4 linked regions of the Macaca fascicularis genome follow. The main gene of each other region encodes a partner of the protein of the gene in region 2 in a complex. Links are inferred from orthologs where the notes say so. Each region holds a gene or a part of one and is shown on either strand. Other genes may lie near its edges.

Region 1 (4,081 bases), on a different chromosome or scaffold from region 2:
TAAACATTTTGAATGATGAATGATGAACAATTTTGTTTACTTCTTACTCATTCCCCTGTTACCTTAAGAATTATATGCGACTCCTCACCAGTCTCAAACTTGTAGTCAACTTCTTCCTCTTCATTATACACCTACCCTATCACAAGGATCAGTCATTATTTTCTCATCCTCTCCTCCCCACTCTCTCCCACCAAAAAGTCTTAGAAGCGGCAGCTTCTAATCAGCCTGAACTTTCTGACATGGTTGGGATCCAGTTCAAGGTTATGCAATATGAAAAGATAAACAAAATAAAGGAAAAATGTGGAGACTGGAGTACCTATTAGGTGATTTTAAACAATGGACACAGCTCCTAAAGAACCCGCTAATTCAGTAAAAAAATTTTTTAAATTAATTTAGTTTCAACCACTCTGTTTTATCATAGAGACAAAAACTGGTTGATTTGCTGATTGTTTTCACTTACTATGTTTTGGCCTAACATAGAAGTCTTGAAACAGAGCTGACTGTACTGATTGTTGGCAGGAAGTAACCTGCATGTGTGGTCTCTTAGCAAATTATATGGGGACTGTTCCTAAATGACAGGGCTCTGTGCTTGAGGAGTCTTCTGCACTCAAGGGTCTTGGCCTGCTTCTTCCTTTCTACTTCCCCTCCAACTTCCCCTACATCTTCCCCTCCCACCTTGTCCACCACAAAGCTTTGTCCCTCAGGCCCTTCATGGAACACCTCCCAGGCAGGTATAAAGCACCCGGTGTCCCAGGTTCCTACAGAGGAAAAAATCCTAGGCAGACCAGTTAGGGGATCCTGGAGTGGAGACGGGAAAAGCAACAGCAAGGTGTGACTGATGAAGTTCTGTTTTAAGGAATAGGAACTGCTGTGGTGTTAAGTTCTGGAAATCCAGAGCATTTCAGAAAACAGCCTGCATTATTTCCTCTCAATAACAGACTACCTAAACTGCACTTGGAAGATCCAGTTTAAGGGGAAAGATAGGTGTGTTTAGAACTTGTCATGGACTGTTCCCCAATGTGCCTTTTCTTCAGATCTCTGGGATAGTTGAAGCAAGTAAATGAAATGTCTTCTCGTTAGTGGGCTCCCTACCCTGAGGAACACCTTGTGAAAAACATTTGAGGACAAGATAGGCGTTGCGAGAAGGAACACTGGAGATTAAAGGATGTGGGCAGTGGTGGTGACATCATTTTCTGGCTAAAGAATCAAAAGACGGCGACAGAACATGTAGAGTGTGAAAGGCTATGAGTATAGAAAGGAGATAGCAATAGACACATGCTAGTGCAGGCAGTGCCTCTAGAAGATAAATGTTTGTATTATTTGACTTAAAAAATAAATATATGCATGTTATCTATTGAAAGCTATAATGTTAAAATAATGATAAGACTCCATCAGTCTGGTATGCTTTTTCTCCCCAGGAAATACATACGGAGGCTGGTGATCAGGCCCCGGGAACTGACAGTCTAATTTGATGCCACTGAAGCAAAGTCCCCAAGGAATTCTGGCGGCTTGGACCAGGAATTCTGCAGGGACACTGACGGCCCCTGGGGCCAGAGCTGACGCCGTGGCCCTCCCCTCCATATTCATACACTCTGTGAAGCTACCTGTCCCCTTGTTAACACATGGAGAGCGAGTCCTTTCTGACTACATCACAGGCAGAAGCAAGGCAGAGGCACAAGAAACTACCGACAGCAGGCGTTTTGGTGTGCACTCCCGTTCATTGGCGTAGGTGACCCGCTGCCCCTTCTAGGGGACACTGAACAGTCCAGTTCTGAGCCGGGGAAAGCCTTGATCCTATAATGTGGTCCCTACTTTCCCCCACGTTCACGCCCAATGCTCCCAGGCTGGAGCTGCTCCGGCGTGTGCCCCTCGTTCGGCCCCGAGCCCTTGGCCCCCAGACCCCGCCACGGCCCCTCCCCCACTGGGGGCGCTTTCCGCCCGCCCTCCTCGGGTTCCCTGGTCCTACCAGCGCCTTGGCCAGGGCTCCCTCGCACAGAGGCAGCTCCAGCCCCTCGGCCGTGGGTCTTCACGAGGCTGGGCTTGTGTCTGATCTCAGGACGGCGCGCGGACCCTGCTCCCTATGCGAAGGTCACGGTCTCGGAGAGGTGCGCATGGCTCACTGCACTCCCTGCGCCCGCCTTCGGGACCGGCCGCAGCAGCCCCCGCAGACCCTCTGGGCAGCCGCGGCGGCCCTGGCCCCGGAGCTCCGCCCCTCTCGTGCTCCCCGCCCGCTTGCCCCCTCGGGGTCCCGGACTGCTGAGCCCAGCTCCCCTTGGAGCCCACTCGCGAGCTGCCCTCTAACCCCCACCCCAGTTAGTCCCCGTTCCCTCACCGTCTCCTTAGCCCGCAGATAGCTTAGCTGACTCTTCAGGGTCGCTGAGGGCGCGTCTTCCGTTCCCCGAGGGCCACACGCCGGCTCGGGTCCCCAGCAGACGGTGAGCCCCGCGCTCAGGTCCTCTCCTGCCCTCTTCCGTGCCGAGCCAGGGGTTCCCGGCTCCCAAATCCTGTTCCTGCTGCCTGCTGTCGGGGAGGTCCTCTTCCCGGACCCCTACTCCTTGGCGATGGAAAGAGACTTAGAGGGCTTACGACGCCACCAACGTTCTCTGTGCCGAGGGTGGCACAATTTTTTTTTTTTTTTTCTGATATAAGGCCAGAGATTCACAATAAAATAAATACAAATCGCGTGCCCAAACTCTTACTTATTGTGCAAGACTCAGGTCAAGCGTTACCTCGGTGCTGACAAACAGCTCCCTGCTTCCACTCTCCTGCGCGAAAGGGCGCGCGATCCTCCCTGGCTGCAGCCAGGCGCCTGTTCTACCCGACTCCACAGCTCGCTGCTTGGAGGCCCCGACCTGGCCTTGCTTATCCTTGTCCCTAGCCCCTGGCAAGGTGCCTGCCACCCATCACAGCACTAGAATATTTTATGAATAAGTGGAAAATTAATTTCTTTTGTAGAAAACCATTTGCGTGTGTGTGTGTGTGTGTTTGGCTTTTTACCCTCAAATAAAGCATACTCCTTTGGGTGGGCAATTTGCTAGTCTCTATAAAGAAACACCAAAAATATCCCCTTTAATGCAGTATTCCATGCTTGGGGAAATTTCCAGAACAAAATAACATTCATGCGGAGATGTTTTTTAGGAGGATCATTTACTACAGAAAAAAAATTTGAAAACCACAAAAAGTAAACAGAGCCAAACTGTCAACAGTAGGAAACTGGTTGAGTAAATTAGGGTGACTTAATGGGATATTATACAACCGTTAAAATGATAAACATCAAGACAGAAGTGCTTCAAATTCTTTTTAGAATAAGGAGGGAGTATGTATTTATTTATAAAGAAAAAAAGGGAAACATGAAGTAACATGATAAAATGTTTGCAAATTATTGTTAAGCAAAAAGCAGAAAATTGGGTCATTTACCCATGTTTAATAACTTCAAATAAAAATGCAGATTTCTTCTCTGCAAATCGGCCATAACATCTACCTCAAGGGGTCCTTGGAGTGTTCAATGAAATAGTCAAGGAAAGTGCCTAGTACAGAATGGATACTCAACAAAGTTTCCATTTCTTTTCTTCAATGGAACACAGACTCAAATCCAGCATGTCAAACACATCCTCATTATGGCCCAATTCTACCCATTTGGCTTCCTTTCCCTCAAATACAGCGTAGGAGAAGGAGCTGAGCAAATGCCAAAGAACCAGGGAAGGAGGAAAATCTAGTTAATAGGAATAAACGTGAAGTCCTCCCTCAGGCCGAAACACCTAGCAATACAAGTTGGTAATGGGGGATGTGGCTCAGTAGTGCTCTACATCAAAATACCTTAGATTTTATTTTAGTTGGCTACAAGCACAACCTTGTGAACACCCAAAGGCTGAATGAGTTCAGTTCAAAACCTGAATGAGGCTGCAATCTTAGGCTGAACTTATCCTCTTCAATGGTCAGGTTACACCTGGGCATAATGTCCAAATCTGGGCACTATCTTTAAGAAAGCATTACTCTGAAGATCTATTATTGCTTCCATTGTAAAGATGAAGAAACTATGCATACAGTTTCCAGTATTTAGGGTTGGGCTGCTAGGAGTTGG
Region 2 (3,559 bases):
TTAGAGGATGGGCAATTATAGCATTTATTTTCATGTTGGGGAGAAGGGGGATGGTATTTTACTTCAACCAAGAAATAATGCTAGAGGATACTGGAAGTGTGCTTATTTTCTAAAAAGCTAAACTTTGAGGGGTTTTTCCCCCAATCCTTTTTCAAGTGGTTTTAGAAGTTTCTGTTACTTTAACACAATGGCAGGGAAATGTGTTGGAAAGGTTATTGGAAGTGATCGATGGGCCTATTTTGAAATCAAATGAAGCCTGTGGTACTACTGAAAGAAAATCACAAAATTCAAAGTTAAACCAGACTGAATGGTTTTAAGTTGTTTTCATTCTTTTTTCAATTTGTTAAAAAGCAAGGCCACCACCACCTCTTTGAAATCCCTGACTTTGGCCAATTTATGATACTTAACAAACTGTCTCCTTAACATAATGTGCTTCCCCAAATTTTAAACCTGAAAATATTTATTGCTGAACATCCAAATATGCCTTTCATTGACATCACTAAAAATAAAAATCTGTTTTTTATAGGTGTAACTCTAGAGGTTTAGGAAAAAGACATTTATCAAAAACTTATTATCTATTAAAAGTCTCATTTATGATGGGATGGAAAATGTATATTTCCAAATCCCCCTATGCACTCCAGACATGTGAAGACACTACTCGTGTTGTCACACTATTGTGAACACCTGGACCATTCAGCCGACTGCTCCGATGAAGAGTCGCACCTACCTTATTGTGCTCATACTTGTACGGGATCTTGAGTGTGTCCATGGCTCTGATCATGGCCTGCATGGCCGTGAAGATGTTCTGATACACCAGCTTGGTGAAGCCCCTTTTATCTTCATCAGAGTATCCTGACCCATGGATGATTCTCATCTGCTTGATAAACGTACTCTTGCCACTCTCTCCTGTCCCTGAAAGAGGAACAATAGCAGCTCATCAGACCACAGCGCCATCTCAGTCTCTCAGATAACTAAACCAAATACCATGCCTTGGTTTAGCATCCCCAGATGGCCTGCTGAGAGGAGCAATTCTAGAATTGGAAACGCTACCTATGGTGAACATTCAGCAAAATTAGAGGGAGAGAGTATATTTCAAAGGCAGATGACCTCCAACAACAACAACAAAAAACCCAAACCTGTCACCTCTTTGGAAACCACTCAGCACTGAATTTTGATAGTCATTTGTAACCATGTATCTTGCAAGAAACAATGACAACAGCATCTTTTGAACATGGTAAAACCTGATAAAGCTCTGTTCCCTGGAGAATATCTGAAACGCTTCCAGGACACTGGGTTGATTAGCCAGGATTTGAATCTGGAAATGACAGTGCACTTACACAAAAGGTATTCAGACAGAGATAAGAAAAAAAAGGCCTAAAAATTTCTAGACACGTTCTCTATTTTATTTTTTTTAGACACAGGGTCTTGCTCTGTAACGCAGGCTGGAACGCAGTGGTGTGATCATAGCTTACTGCAGCCTTGAACTCCTAAGATAAAGAAATCGCATCTCAGTCTCTTGATCCTCCCACCTCAGCCTCCCAAGTAGCTGGAACTACAAGCATGCACTACCATGCCCAGCTAATTTTTTTTTTTTTTTTTAAATTTCTGTAGAGACAGGTTCTCACTAGGTTGACTGGGCTGGCTGTGAACTCCTAGCCTCAAGGGGTGCACCAGCCTTGCCTCTCAACACCCAGCCCATTTTCTCCAATATTAAAATGAGGCATAAGAACACAGTATCCTGGTAAGGCAAGAAGAAGAATCATTTTTCTAGATACCACATATCCCCTGAATTTATTTCTGGTAGGGGGCTGGTTGACTGAGTTATTCCAAGGAATCACCTAATTCAGGAAAGCAACGGTGGTTCTTCTTCTCTCTCCCCATTCTTGACTAGTAACATTATATAGAAATGTATTGTGATTAGCTTTTTTTCCTTCTTTTTATTGTGATTAGCTTTTTTTCCTTCTGTGCTATCTCCTTTTTCACATCTTCAATATTACTTTTCTGTTACCATAAGCCTGAAGGTAATCCCTAACAGAGCTATGCATGTCGCTGGGAAGAAGACAAGACAGAAAAATGGGATCACTTCACAAAATGACAGCATATTTCTTCTACAATGAATCCAAATCGAAAAACTTCATTTTTCTAAATGTAAGTGGTCATTTTCATGTGTCCTTTCTCAGGGCCTGTTTCTCACTCCCTCTCAAATTTCCTTGAGATCTCCAAAACAGTAACTGTCTTTATCTTACCCCAAAAATATGAAGAAAATAAAAGTGCCAATTTGGATATTAAAGACGGAATAACAGAATGAAACACACAATGGCCATTATCACCAGGGTCCTTAATGCCATTTCCTCACTACAAAGCTGAGAAAAACAAAGAAAGAAAGGGAAGGAAAGGAAGAGAGAGAGAAAGGAAGGAAAGGAGGAAGAGAGAGAAGGAAGGAAGGAGGGAGAAAAAAAATAAAAGCTAGTAATATGCCATCTGTCCTAAATTCATTTTGTTTTTCTGATGGTTGGATTTCATTACTATCTTTATAAACAATCACAAAATTTCAATTAAGTATTACAGTTTTCATAGAAGCCTCTTAAATGACTGCAGATGTCTTGGTAAATACATAGCCCTCACACAGTTACAATGAAAGGTATTTCTAGCCATAGAGTCCTGCAGTGGCTGATTCCTTTATAATAATTTCCCTATTACTTTTAGTAAAGTGATCTGGAACTCGTAGAAATATAAATTAACAGCTGTAATGTGAATGCTATCACCCCAATTTAACAGGATTAATTCAGAAAGTTTAAAATGAGTATTTTATAATTCCAACATGAATAGTGGACAAAAGCATAAAGTGGCTGAAACCTACCATTTCTCTAATAGAAATGAAGCTACTAAAATTGTTTCTCATTATCAACCAATGATTTGCAGAAACTAGTATATTTACTCTCCCATAGATTGCTTCTTTATTATCACGATCCCACAGCCAAAGGCTTGCTCTGAGGGCCTAAGTGTAAACAACCATTAATTCACAATAAAAACAGAAGAAATCCTGATTTGTGAGGTTAATATCAGGCAACAGGACCTTTTTTCTCCTGGTCACCTGCATATACTTGTAACTACCCTACCCCCACAAAAAAAGAGAAAGTATCACATGAAGTATAAGCACACTGGTATGTGGTTAATTGAAATCACTTTGGGCAAGAGCAGTCAACATTTGGCACTTCTTTGGATCTAGTCACCAAGTCCCTGGGCACTGTCCACACACTGGATATCACACTAATGTAGACTCCAAGTAGGGGCCAAACATGTGACTGATAAGTGAATTAGGAGAAATTAAAAGAAAAGAAAAAACAATCAAACAATCAACCCTAAGATATTTTCCTGTTGCCAGAAACACGCCCAGGGATCCTTTCTCCACCATCTCATCTTGCTGGGTACCCCCAGGAGGCTGACCAATAGGGATTTCAACAGCTTTGTTATACTCTGCCTTCTGCTTGGGTTTAGCCAACAGGAAACCAGAGAGCAGGAGAAAAAGGAAAGGGCATTTATTCTCCTAGCTTCCGCT
Region 3 (3,559 bases), on a different chromosome or scaffold from region 2:
GGTCATATCAGGCCACAGGAAGCGGGGCAGGGAAGGCTTCCTGAAGCAGAGGCCCGAGCCTCAGCGAAGAGAGAACAGGGAGAGCTTCGGAGAGATGAAAGTCGTGGGGATGGAGGAACAGGAACAGGGAAGCTCAGCAGACTCGGCAGGGCAGGCTCAGGTTCAACCCAGCAGTCCTTGGCTGGAGGCGTGCCCTCAACCCCACCAAACACCCAAAGCCCATTTTACAGATGAGGAAACGTACAGAGTCCTCTCACCCCAAATCACACTGCACACAGGGTCCCTGAAATCCACTTTTATTCATGTAAAAAAAATCCTCAAAGAATAGAGAAAAAATGTGACACCTACTTCCTGAAGCTCCAGCAGCTCTCCCAGGGAAGGGAGGAGACACTGCTACCTCGAGGGTGTGGGTGTCACGGGGAGCAAAGCCCTGACCAGGGCCCTAACCTAAGACTGAGGGCAGGAAGGAGGGGCCCCAGGAGGATGAAGGGAGTTAGCTCAGGTACTTGCCCCAGGTTTAAAAAAATAAAATTTCTAGATAAAAAGTTAAAAAAAAAAAAGCATTAGTGTCGTTGCCTCCTGCCCTCCACCCAGCGCCCACCCTGGCCCTGTGGCCACCTCTTGCTCAGCCAGTTCAGAGCTGCGTGTTCTCCTCCTGGCTCTCCGAGTCAGCGCCCGACAGGTGCCCGCTGCTCCCAGGTGCGTGACCGTTGCTGGCACAGGCCACCAGAAGCCCATCCCCCAGCCCCTCCGGCATCTCGCCCAGCAGGCTCCTGCGGATCTCCTGGGGGAGCCTCGCCCGCTGCTCCTGACACTCCTGGGCCAGCTGGGCCAGCAGCTGTGGGAGGAGGACGGGCATCACAGGCGAGGCCTGGCTGCCTTGCACCCCATCTGCCCGCCTGTTCGCCCATGGCCTCACCTTGGGCTCCTCTTCTGCCAGCTGTTGCAGGACCTGCTGCTGCCCAGCCACAAGACGGTCATGCCGCTGCTTCTGGGCCTCCTCCAGCTACAGGGGTGGGCAAGGGCTCAGCTGAGGGGCCCTGAGGGGCTAGGGCCTCGAGGCTCTGGCTGGGTATAGAAGTCAGGTGGGCAAGGCCAGGCGCAGTGGCTCACACCTGTAATCCCAGCACTTTGGGAGGCCGAGGTGGGCAGATCACCTGAGGTCAGGAGTTCCAGACCAGCCTGGCCAACATGGTGAAACCCCATCTCTACTAAAAATACAAAAATTAGCCAGGCGTAGTGGCGGACGCCTGTAATCCCAGCTACTTGGGAGGCTGAGGCAAGAGAATTGCTTGAACCCAAGAGGCAGAGGTTGCAGTGAGCCAAGATCGCACCACTGCACTCCGGCCTGGGTGACAAAGTGAGACTCTGTCTCAAAGAAAAATAAAGGAAGTCAGGTGGGTGAAGGCTCCCAGGGTGATGTATCAGGTTTGTGAAAGGACTGGGCCCAAGGACACCAAAGCCAGGGGCACTGGTGCAGACAGTTGGCTTTGGGTATGAAGCGGGTACCCTGGAGCTGTTGGGCACTCGAGAAAGGCTCTAGAAGAACTTTGAGGGCAACGTGGCACCAGGCCAGGCACGGAGAAGGGTGTCTGATGAGTGAAGGAAGGGACGTGGGGTAGGGTGGCCCAGGAGCCCAACTCACCCGACGGATGGAGTTGACTGACTCAGTGATGTGCCGACGGTTAATCTCCGTCAGTTCCCTGCACAGGAGCAATGCAGGATGGCTCGGGGCCCAGACACCCGCCCTGCCTCCCCAGTACCCAGGTGGCCCCCGGCCCTGGTGCCCTTACGCCTCCTTCTTATGCTTGTCCCTCGTCTTGGCCTCCGAGATGCTGTTATGGCGCTTTCTGTCCAGGATCTTCTGCAGTTCCTTCTTTTCCCTTGAGAAGCCAGCAGGGAAAAAGGAGGGGTCAGCGGCAGAAGCACAGACTCTGCCTTCCTTCTGTATTAGAAGTCCCCAGCCCTTCCCATAGACAATCCTAGGCCTTCACCTCTCGTTCATCTCTTTCAGCCTCTTGAACTGAGTTGTGTTTGCATCAAGGACGACCTCCCTGAGCCGCTGCAGAGCCTATGGACACAGGGAGCCGACAGGTGATGCCGGGTCGATGACCAGTCTATCCAGGAGGCTTTCCCTGGCCACTGCAGGCCTCCTACCTGTCTCAGATGCTCCAGCCTCCGCTGGGCCTCTGCGTCCACCTGGGCCTCCCGCAGCTCCAGCAGGCTCTGCACCTGTCTGTTCTGGAACTCCTGATACCGCTTTGCCTCGTCCTCCCCCTCCTTCGTGTCCTCCACATCAGCGGCCCCGCCTCTGCGAGGAGAACCCCTCTGGGTGATGCTTGGGTCCGTCACATGAACTGGGATGGGGAGGGTGTGTGGGGGGGCACACCCCGGCAAGCGATGGCAGACACCACCCCATGGGGCCAGGTCTGTTATGCAAACCAGGAGGCCTGTTAGCTCCACACAAGTGATGGGAGCCTGTTTGGGCAACACACTCCTCATGGACTTCAAAAGAGATGTCACTCCCTGGGGGACACGGAGGTGCCTGGTGTAGAAAGCCTCCTCCATCCTTGCACCCGAACCCTCCTCCCTGGGGGTCAAGGAGCGGCTCTTGCCATCTCTCCATGCCCACCGACCCCCATGTTCACTTCAGTGCACCCAGCACACATAGCACACAGGCGGCCCAGACACTCACAGGGCACCTGGCCGCAGCCGGCACCTGCCCTCAGCCTGTGCCTGAGCCAGGCCATCCAGCAGGCGGCGGGTGAGGGTGACTGCCTTCCGCTGATGCTTCTTGCGCAGCTCCCGCAGGTCTCGCTCTTGCCGGCTCTGGAGCTTGACCAGAGCCTTGTGACCTCGGAGCTCATCCAGCGGGGTGGGGGCCACCTCTGGGAGTGGCAGAGGAAAGGTAGGCGGGGGGTGGGGGAAACTGCAAGGCAGCCCCCCGGCCTCCAGGTACCCCGCCCCCTACCTGAGAGGATGCTGGCGATGAGATCGTCGCGCTGCCCTAGGGAGCAGAGGCCCTGTGAGGAGCTGAAGGACAGGGTGGTGGGGCACCTCCCTGCAGCCCACCCCTGACCCGAGCTGCTCCTTACCTGGGCTGCTGAGGGAGGTGCTGGCAGGGGAGGCGGTGGGGCCGGGGGGCCGGCGGGGGGAGGCATCCAGTGGGCTAGGGGTGGGGTTTGGGGACAGCTGAGACCCCAGCTGCTGAGACTGGGTGTCCTGGCACATCTCTTGGCCAGCCTGAGCCTATAGGGAGAAAGGAGAATGCTCTTTCCAGAAATGCTGTTCCCTCCAGACCCTTCTGTCCTCTACCACCTCCCGGGGCCCCTAGCACCCCTGGCAGCTTCCCTTAGTCCAAGCCACTGCTGGGCTGCTCTGTAACAGGAGGCTGTCTGCATGAAAAGAGCTATAAATCAAGCCTTTCTAAACCCCTTTTCCACATGGGCTGTGGGGAAGATAACATAATGCCAGCCCACTGCATGCGCTCAGGAACACCCAGATTGTTCTGGAAAGGCCTGGCCCAGGCCCAAGCCTCCTCTCCTCCCCTGCCTGTGTC
Region 4 (4,359 bases), on a different chromosome or scaffold from region 2:
GACAGGAGAATTGCTTGAACCCGGGAGGCGGAGGTTGCAGTGAGCTGAAATCATGCCACTGCACTCCAGCCTGGGTGACAGAGAGAGACTCCCTCTAAAAAAAAAATTACCTGGGGGTGGCAGTGCATGCCTGTAGTCCCAGCTACTTGGGAGGCTGAGGCAGGAGATTTCCTTGAGCCAGGGAGAGATGGAGGTTGCAATGAGCCAAAATCGCACCACTGCACTCCAGCCTGGGCAACAGAATGAGACTCAAAAAACAAAACAACAACAACAAAAAAAACACCAAACCAATTATAAAGAAAACAGAAGTTCCAGTCTCAAAAAGATAAATGGAATGACCTAGGCCTGTAAAATGGTGGGAAAAAATAAGTAAGTGGCAGAGAGAAGCTGACTGAAATGAACACCACATGGACCAGCCAGGGTACTCTGGGCAAGACTCCTCACTTCATTCATCTGCTATTTACTGAGGTCCCATAGGTGATGAGACTATGCTAGACATGATGGAAAGGATGGTAGGGTCCCCTGCCTCCAGGAGTTAACGATGCAGTGAGGACATGTATTAAACATATTTACCCAAATAATTACCAATTACTATTGTGAGGGGAAAGAGGGGCCGCGACTTCCAAGTGTTTTCCTTGCCTTGCCTCCTCCCCTATTCAGTGTCCCTCACCTGTACCCTGAGAAGGCTGTGATCTAGGCTGAGTTCCTTTCTATGAGGCAGTCTTTCGGAGTGAGGCTTTGGGAAGAAAATCAAACCCCAAATCGGCCTTGCAGCCACCTGAGGGGCATGCAGAAGGACTGGTTAAAAGGCAGTGAGCAAAGATCTACCCTGAGGGCAGAAAAGCTTTGCTGACACGGTATTTACTAAAATCAGTTTAGTTTTAAGGTGGGAGGAAAGCTCCATCTGCCTAAATCAATTCTCAGTGTTACTTCGCGAACCCTTTGGGAAAGTTACCCTGCAAGGGAATAAAAGTATGGTGGGGGGAGGATGAGGAACAAGGTGCAATATTAAGTGGCTCTAGTTAACAAGTAACCTGATTTTTCCTTGTTGTCAAATCAAGTTCGCCTTATACTCCAGGGATCTCCCAATCCCCTATCAAGAGGGGTAAACAAGAACAAGCCAAATAATCGGGGCATGCTTCCTAGGGGGACCTCTGAATCATAAAGATGTTGAATCATTTATACCAACACGTATTTTTTTAAAGTTTGCACATACTAACCTTTGCTCCTGAATTTTAAGTTCCCAACTTTAAAGGACATAGAGGAGAGGTGTTTATTACAGTTTTCAATACTTCCTGGAACTAAATGCCTTTATTCTGATGCTGATTAATAAAAAATATATCAGCAGTGCACAGTTTTCAAGCTTACACAACACCCTTTTCCCTAAGTGAAGAGGGAAAAGAATCACATTCTTCCATCTAATTCCAACCCACTGCGACTTGCTCTTTTACCTCCTCTTTATGAAGAGGTGGATAAAAGTGAGAAATGCCTTTTACAGCAAGTCTGAACATCTGAGGGAAATTAAAACCTCCCTTTGCTACCCAGGCTGCCCCAAACAGCGGGGCCTCGGTTAGGATCACAGTGGCGCGACCGCAAGTCAAACATCCCCCACAGCTACAGCGAGGCCTGCTGGGCCCGGAAGAACACATTCCGAGCAGTACAAGTTCGAGCAAACCCGGAGCAGCACACCCAAGGAACGCGGCGGCCGGGCGCAAGTGCTGCTCTGTTCCCAGGGCGGCCAGCCTCCGGCCTGCAGACCTGGGTGGCAGCCAGTGGTCGCTCCGGGTGGCACACTAGGCAAGTCCCGGAACCCAAGGCCCAGAGAGTCAACTGGTCAAATATAAGGCAGCGTCCAAAAAGTTCCGCTCGTAAATCCTCGTGACGCCCAACGGGCCTGAGCGCTCATTACCACCAGAACCCAGCAGAGTCCAGCCCTGAATTTCATACCCCGGGCCTTCCACCGTGGGTGCCAGGAGCCGCGGGCCCCGGGTGGATCTCGAACGCCAGGGGCAGAACCCGAAGAAAGGCTTCCAGTAGTTGGGGGAGGGGGGCGCAAAAAACAATTTAGAAGGCTCCCGGGCCGCGGGTTCCCACCCACTCCGCCGGTTCCCACCCACTCCGCCCTGCCCTGCGCAATCAGCTCGCTAACTCCACCGGCCCCGCGGGAGCGAGAGGAAACTAAGCGAAAAGCTCTTAACGACTTAGTGTTTATAAAGCAACCAAGCCCGGGGAGGGGACTGGGTCCTCTGGGTACCCTTTAGACACAGCTACTCCTTCCTTCACTCCCTTTCCCCGAACCCACGCTGGCGCCTGGGGGTGCCCAGCATGACAGCCTCTACGGGAAGTAGGGTCTTTGGGGAAGTCTCTGCCTCTGCCGGGCTCTGCCAACTTCAGCTGCTCCCGCATGTCCCACCTGGGTGCCTCCTTGGCGCAGAGACCCCCCATCAAAGCCACCAAGGAGAGGCTAAGGGATTCGTGGAGATGGGTGCCGGCAGCAGAACCCCTTTCGCGCACCTGCCCGGATCACCGTCTGCCCAGCGTGCCCAGGACCCCAGCTCCTCAGCGATAAGAGCCCTCCTTGGCCACGTTTCTCACCTTGGATGATGCCATTGCAGGAGACAGAGGCTGCCAGCAGGATGGCGGCCCCCAGCAGCCACGCCGCGCTGGGGCGCCACATCCTCCCCGAAGCCCCGACGCCGGGCGCGCTGGGAATCCGCCGCCACCGATTCGAAACTCAGAGCTCCACTGGACGCACCGAGAGAAAGTCAGCCTCTCGTCTGTCCCTAATCGCAGCCTCTGCGCTCCTCCCCAGGGCGGGTTAGGTTTCAGGGAAACCCCAGGCGCCGCTGGACTCACCTGCGGGAGGCCACGCCCCGGGACCGGAACGAGGGCCCTGGCCCCGCCCCCGGTCACCTGCCTTGCGCGGCTGCTCCCCCGGGTCCCCGGACGCGCGCCAGGTCTTCTAGACTGCTGGAGCCGCCTGCGGGCGGGGTTGAGCGCATGAGGTGTCCGCTTTGGAATGCAAATAGCAGGAGCGCTGGGACCTCGGGTTAATCCCGGCCTGGGTTATGCCGCGAACTACCTTTAACCTTTACTTACTCCTAGAGAACCGGGTCGTCCGTTTCCCTCACTTTTCCTGACTATGGGAAAGCCACGATCCGAACTCACTGCAATTGTGGTTGGTAACTGATACAGAGAGGGCTTCCCGGTGCGGTGGACACTGCAGGAGGAGGGATGCGTTTTTTGTTGTAGAGGCAGCTGCAGCTGCGGACACCACGAAAGCGGTGGGGAGCACAAGGGGCGGGGCGGGAAAGAAGACATGGAATGGCTCCTTTCAGCGCCAAGTGCCAAAGCTTTAGAGAATTATCTTGTTTAATCCCTATAACAACCAGCGCGATAAGTATGATTATTCTTCCCATTTTACGGACGAGGAAATTGAGCTTAGAAAGACTAGATAAATTGGTTAGAGTTACACGGTTTATAAACACAGTATATAAATGTTTATCACATTTCAACTCTAGTCTAAGACTGCCACTGTCTTCTATTCATTGCTGCACTATAAATGCGTCCATCAGGGCTCCTCTGTATTGGGATCCCATAGGCTAAATAAATACATGAGCAGATAGAAGGGGTGGGAGAGGAGAAGTGTGGGGTTGGGGATAAGTGCATGAGTGCTTGAGGGTTTGCATCATATTGGTAATGTCTTACTTTTTTTTTTTTTCTTCGAGTCGGAATCTCGTTCTGTTTCCCAGGCTGGAGTGCAGTGGCGCCATCTCGGCTCACTGCAACCTCCGCCTCCTGAGTTCAAGCAATTCTTTAGCCTCCCAAGCAGCTGGGGTTACAGGCGTGCACCACCACATCTGGCTAATTTTTGTATTTTTAGTAGAGACGGGTTTCACCATGTTGGTCAGGCTAGTCTCGAACTCCTGATCTTGTGATCCGCCCACTTGCACCTCCCAAAGTGCTGAGATTACAGGCATGAGCCACCGCACCCAGCATGCCTTACTTTTTATTTGCTTTTTAGAAGATCTATTAAAACAAAGTCTACTGTTACCAATTTAAACCATTGGTATCGGAAGAGCACAGAAGGGAGACATAGGTGTTTTCAAATATTTGAAGGATTCGCTTGTAGAAGAGGATTTGGATGTGTTTTGAGTAGCCCCAGAGAGCAAAAATAGGTGGAAGCCACAGTGGGGTTTAATTTCAGCTCAATGTATAAAGAAATTTTCTCTCTTTTTTATGTTAATTTATATTAGAAAATAGAAATGGGGTCTCCCTATCTTGTCCAGTCTGGTCTGGAACTCCTGGCTTCATGTGATCCTCCCCACTGAGCCTCCCAAAGTGCTGGGATTACAGGAA

The links.
Region 1: the proteins of GNAQ (region 2) and CASR are in contact, whole or in part, in a cryo-EM structure (PDB 8SZG), measured with the Homo sapiens proteins. The link is inferred for Macaca fascicularis from reciprocal best matches to the Homo sapiens genes GNAQ and CASR. Residues at the interface, in NP_002063.2 of Homo sapiens: His63, Leu196, Gln197, Ser198, Ile323, Tyr325, Ile337, Arg338, Phe339, Phe341, Ala342, Lys345, Asp346, Ile348, Leu349, Gln350, Leu351, Asn352, Leu353, Glu355, Tyr356, Leu358, Val359; in NP_000379.3 of Homo sapiens: Lys644, Ala645, Asn647, Arg701, Val702, Leu704, Val705, Phe706, Ala708, Lys709, Ile710, Pro711, Thr712, Phe714, Phe801, Arg873, Thr876, Ala877, His879, Ala880, Phe881, Val883, Ala884, Arg886, Ala887, Thr888, Leu889.
Region 3: the proteins of GNAQ (region 2) and PLCB3 are in contact, whole or in part, in a cryo-EM structure (PDB 8UQO), measured with the Homo sapiens proteins. The link is inferred for Macaca fascicularis from reciprocal best matches to the Homo sapiens genes GNAQ and PLCB3. Residues at the interface, in NP_002063.2 of Homo sapiens: Pro185, Thr186, Thr187, Ile189, Glu191, Pro193, Arg202, Gln209, Arg210, Ser211, Glu212, Arg213, Arg214, Lys215, Trp216, Ile217, His218, Val240, Glu241, Glu245, Glu249, Glu250, Ala253, Leu254, Arg256, Thr257, Ile258, Thr260, Tyr261; in NP_000923.1 of Homo sapiens: Pro257, Arg258, Leu259, Asn260, Glu261, Val262, Leu263, Arg707, Asp709, Lys710, Ile719, Asp721, Gly722, Ile723, Val724, Ala725, Ser845, Asp846, Tyr847, Ile848, Pro849, His852, Tyr855, Ala856, Ala858, Leu859, Ile860, Asn861, Pro862, Ile863.
Region 4: the proteins of GNAQ (region 2) and F2RL1 are in contact, whole or in part, in a cryo-EM structure (PDB 9D0A), measured with the Homo sapiens proteins. The link is inferred for Macaca fascicularis from reciprocal best matches to the Homo sapiens genes GNAQ and F2RL1. Residues at the interface, in NP_002063.2 of Homo sapiens: Arg37, Ile323, Tyr325, Asp346, Ile348, Leu349, Gln350, Asn352, Leu353, Glu355, Tyr356, Asn357, Leu358, Val359; in NP_005233.4 of Homo sapiens: His108, Pro109, Ala110, Met114, Gln172, Arg173, Val176, Ile177, Pro180, Met181, Gly182, His183, Ser184, Arg185, Met265, Met268, Leu269, Met274, Asp275, Asn277, Lys280, Lys281, Arg284, Ala285, Leu288, Ile289, Tyr344, Tyr345, Val347, Ser348.

What each region holds. Positions count from the first base shown.
Region 1 is NC_088376.1:161,062,879-161,066,959, forward strand, and holds the start of CASR (extracellular calcium-sensing receptor), read right to left. Parts: upstream 2,817-4,081; 5' UTR 2,333-2,816; intron 2,176-2,332; exon of another isoform or gene 1,967-2,175; intron 1-1,966. UniProt on the Homo sapiens protein: G-protein-coupled receptor that senses changes in the extracellular concentration of calcium ions and plays a key role in maintaining calcium homeostasis.
Region 2 is NC_088389.1:108,568,113-108,571,671, forward strand, and holds part of GNAQ (guanine nucleotide-binding protein G(q) subunit alpha), read right to left. Parts: intron 913-3,559; coding exon 728-912; intron 1-727.
Region 3 is NC_088388.1:10,129,061-10,132,619, forward strand, and holds part of PLCB3 (1-phosphatidylinositol 4,5-bisphosphate phosphodiesterase beta-3), read right to left. Parts: intron 3,250-3,559; coding exon 3,096-3,249; intron 3,008-3,095; coding exon 2,972-3,007; intron 2,889-2,971; coding exon 2,696-2,888; intron 2,312-2,695; coding exon 2,158-2,311; intron 2,072-2,157; coding exon 1,995-2,071; intron 1,884-1,994; coding exon 1,794-1,883; intron 1,704-1,793; coding exon 1,646-1,703; intron 1,007-1,645; coding exon 920-1,006; intron 839-919; coding exon 635-838; 3' UTR 619-634; exon of another isoform or gene 281-618; intron 1-280. UniProt on the Homo sapiens protein: Catalyzes the production of the second messenger molecules diacylglycerol (DAG) and inositol 1,4,5-trisphosphate (IP3).
Region 4 is NC_088380.1:80,791,345-80,795,703, reverse strand, and holds the start of F2RL1 (proteinase-activated receptor 2), read right to left. Parts: upstream 2,828-4,359; 5' UTR 2,678-2,827; coding exon 2,596-2,677; exon of another isoform or gene 1,657-2,595; intron 1-1,656. UniProt on the Homo sapiens protein: Receptor for trypsin and trypsin-like enzymes coupled to G proteins.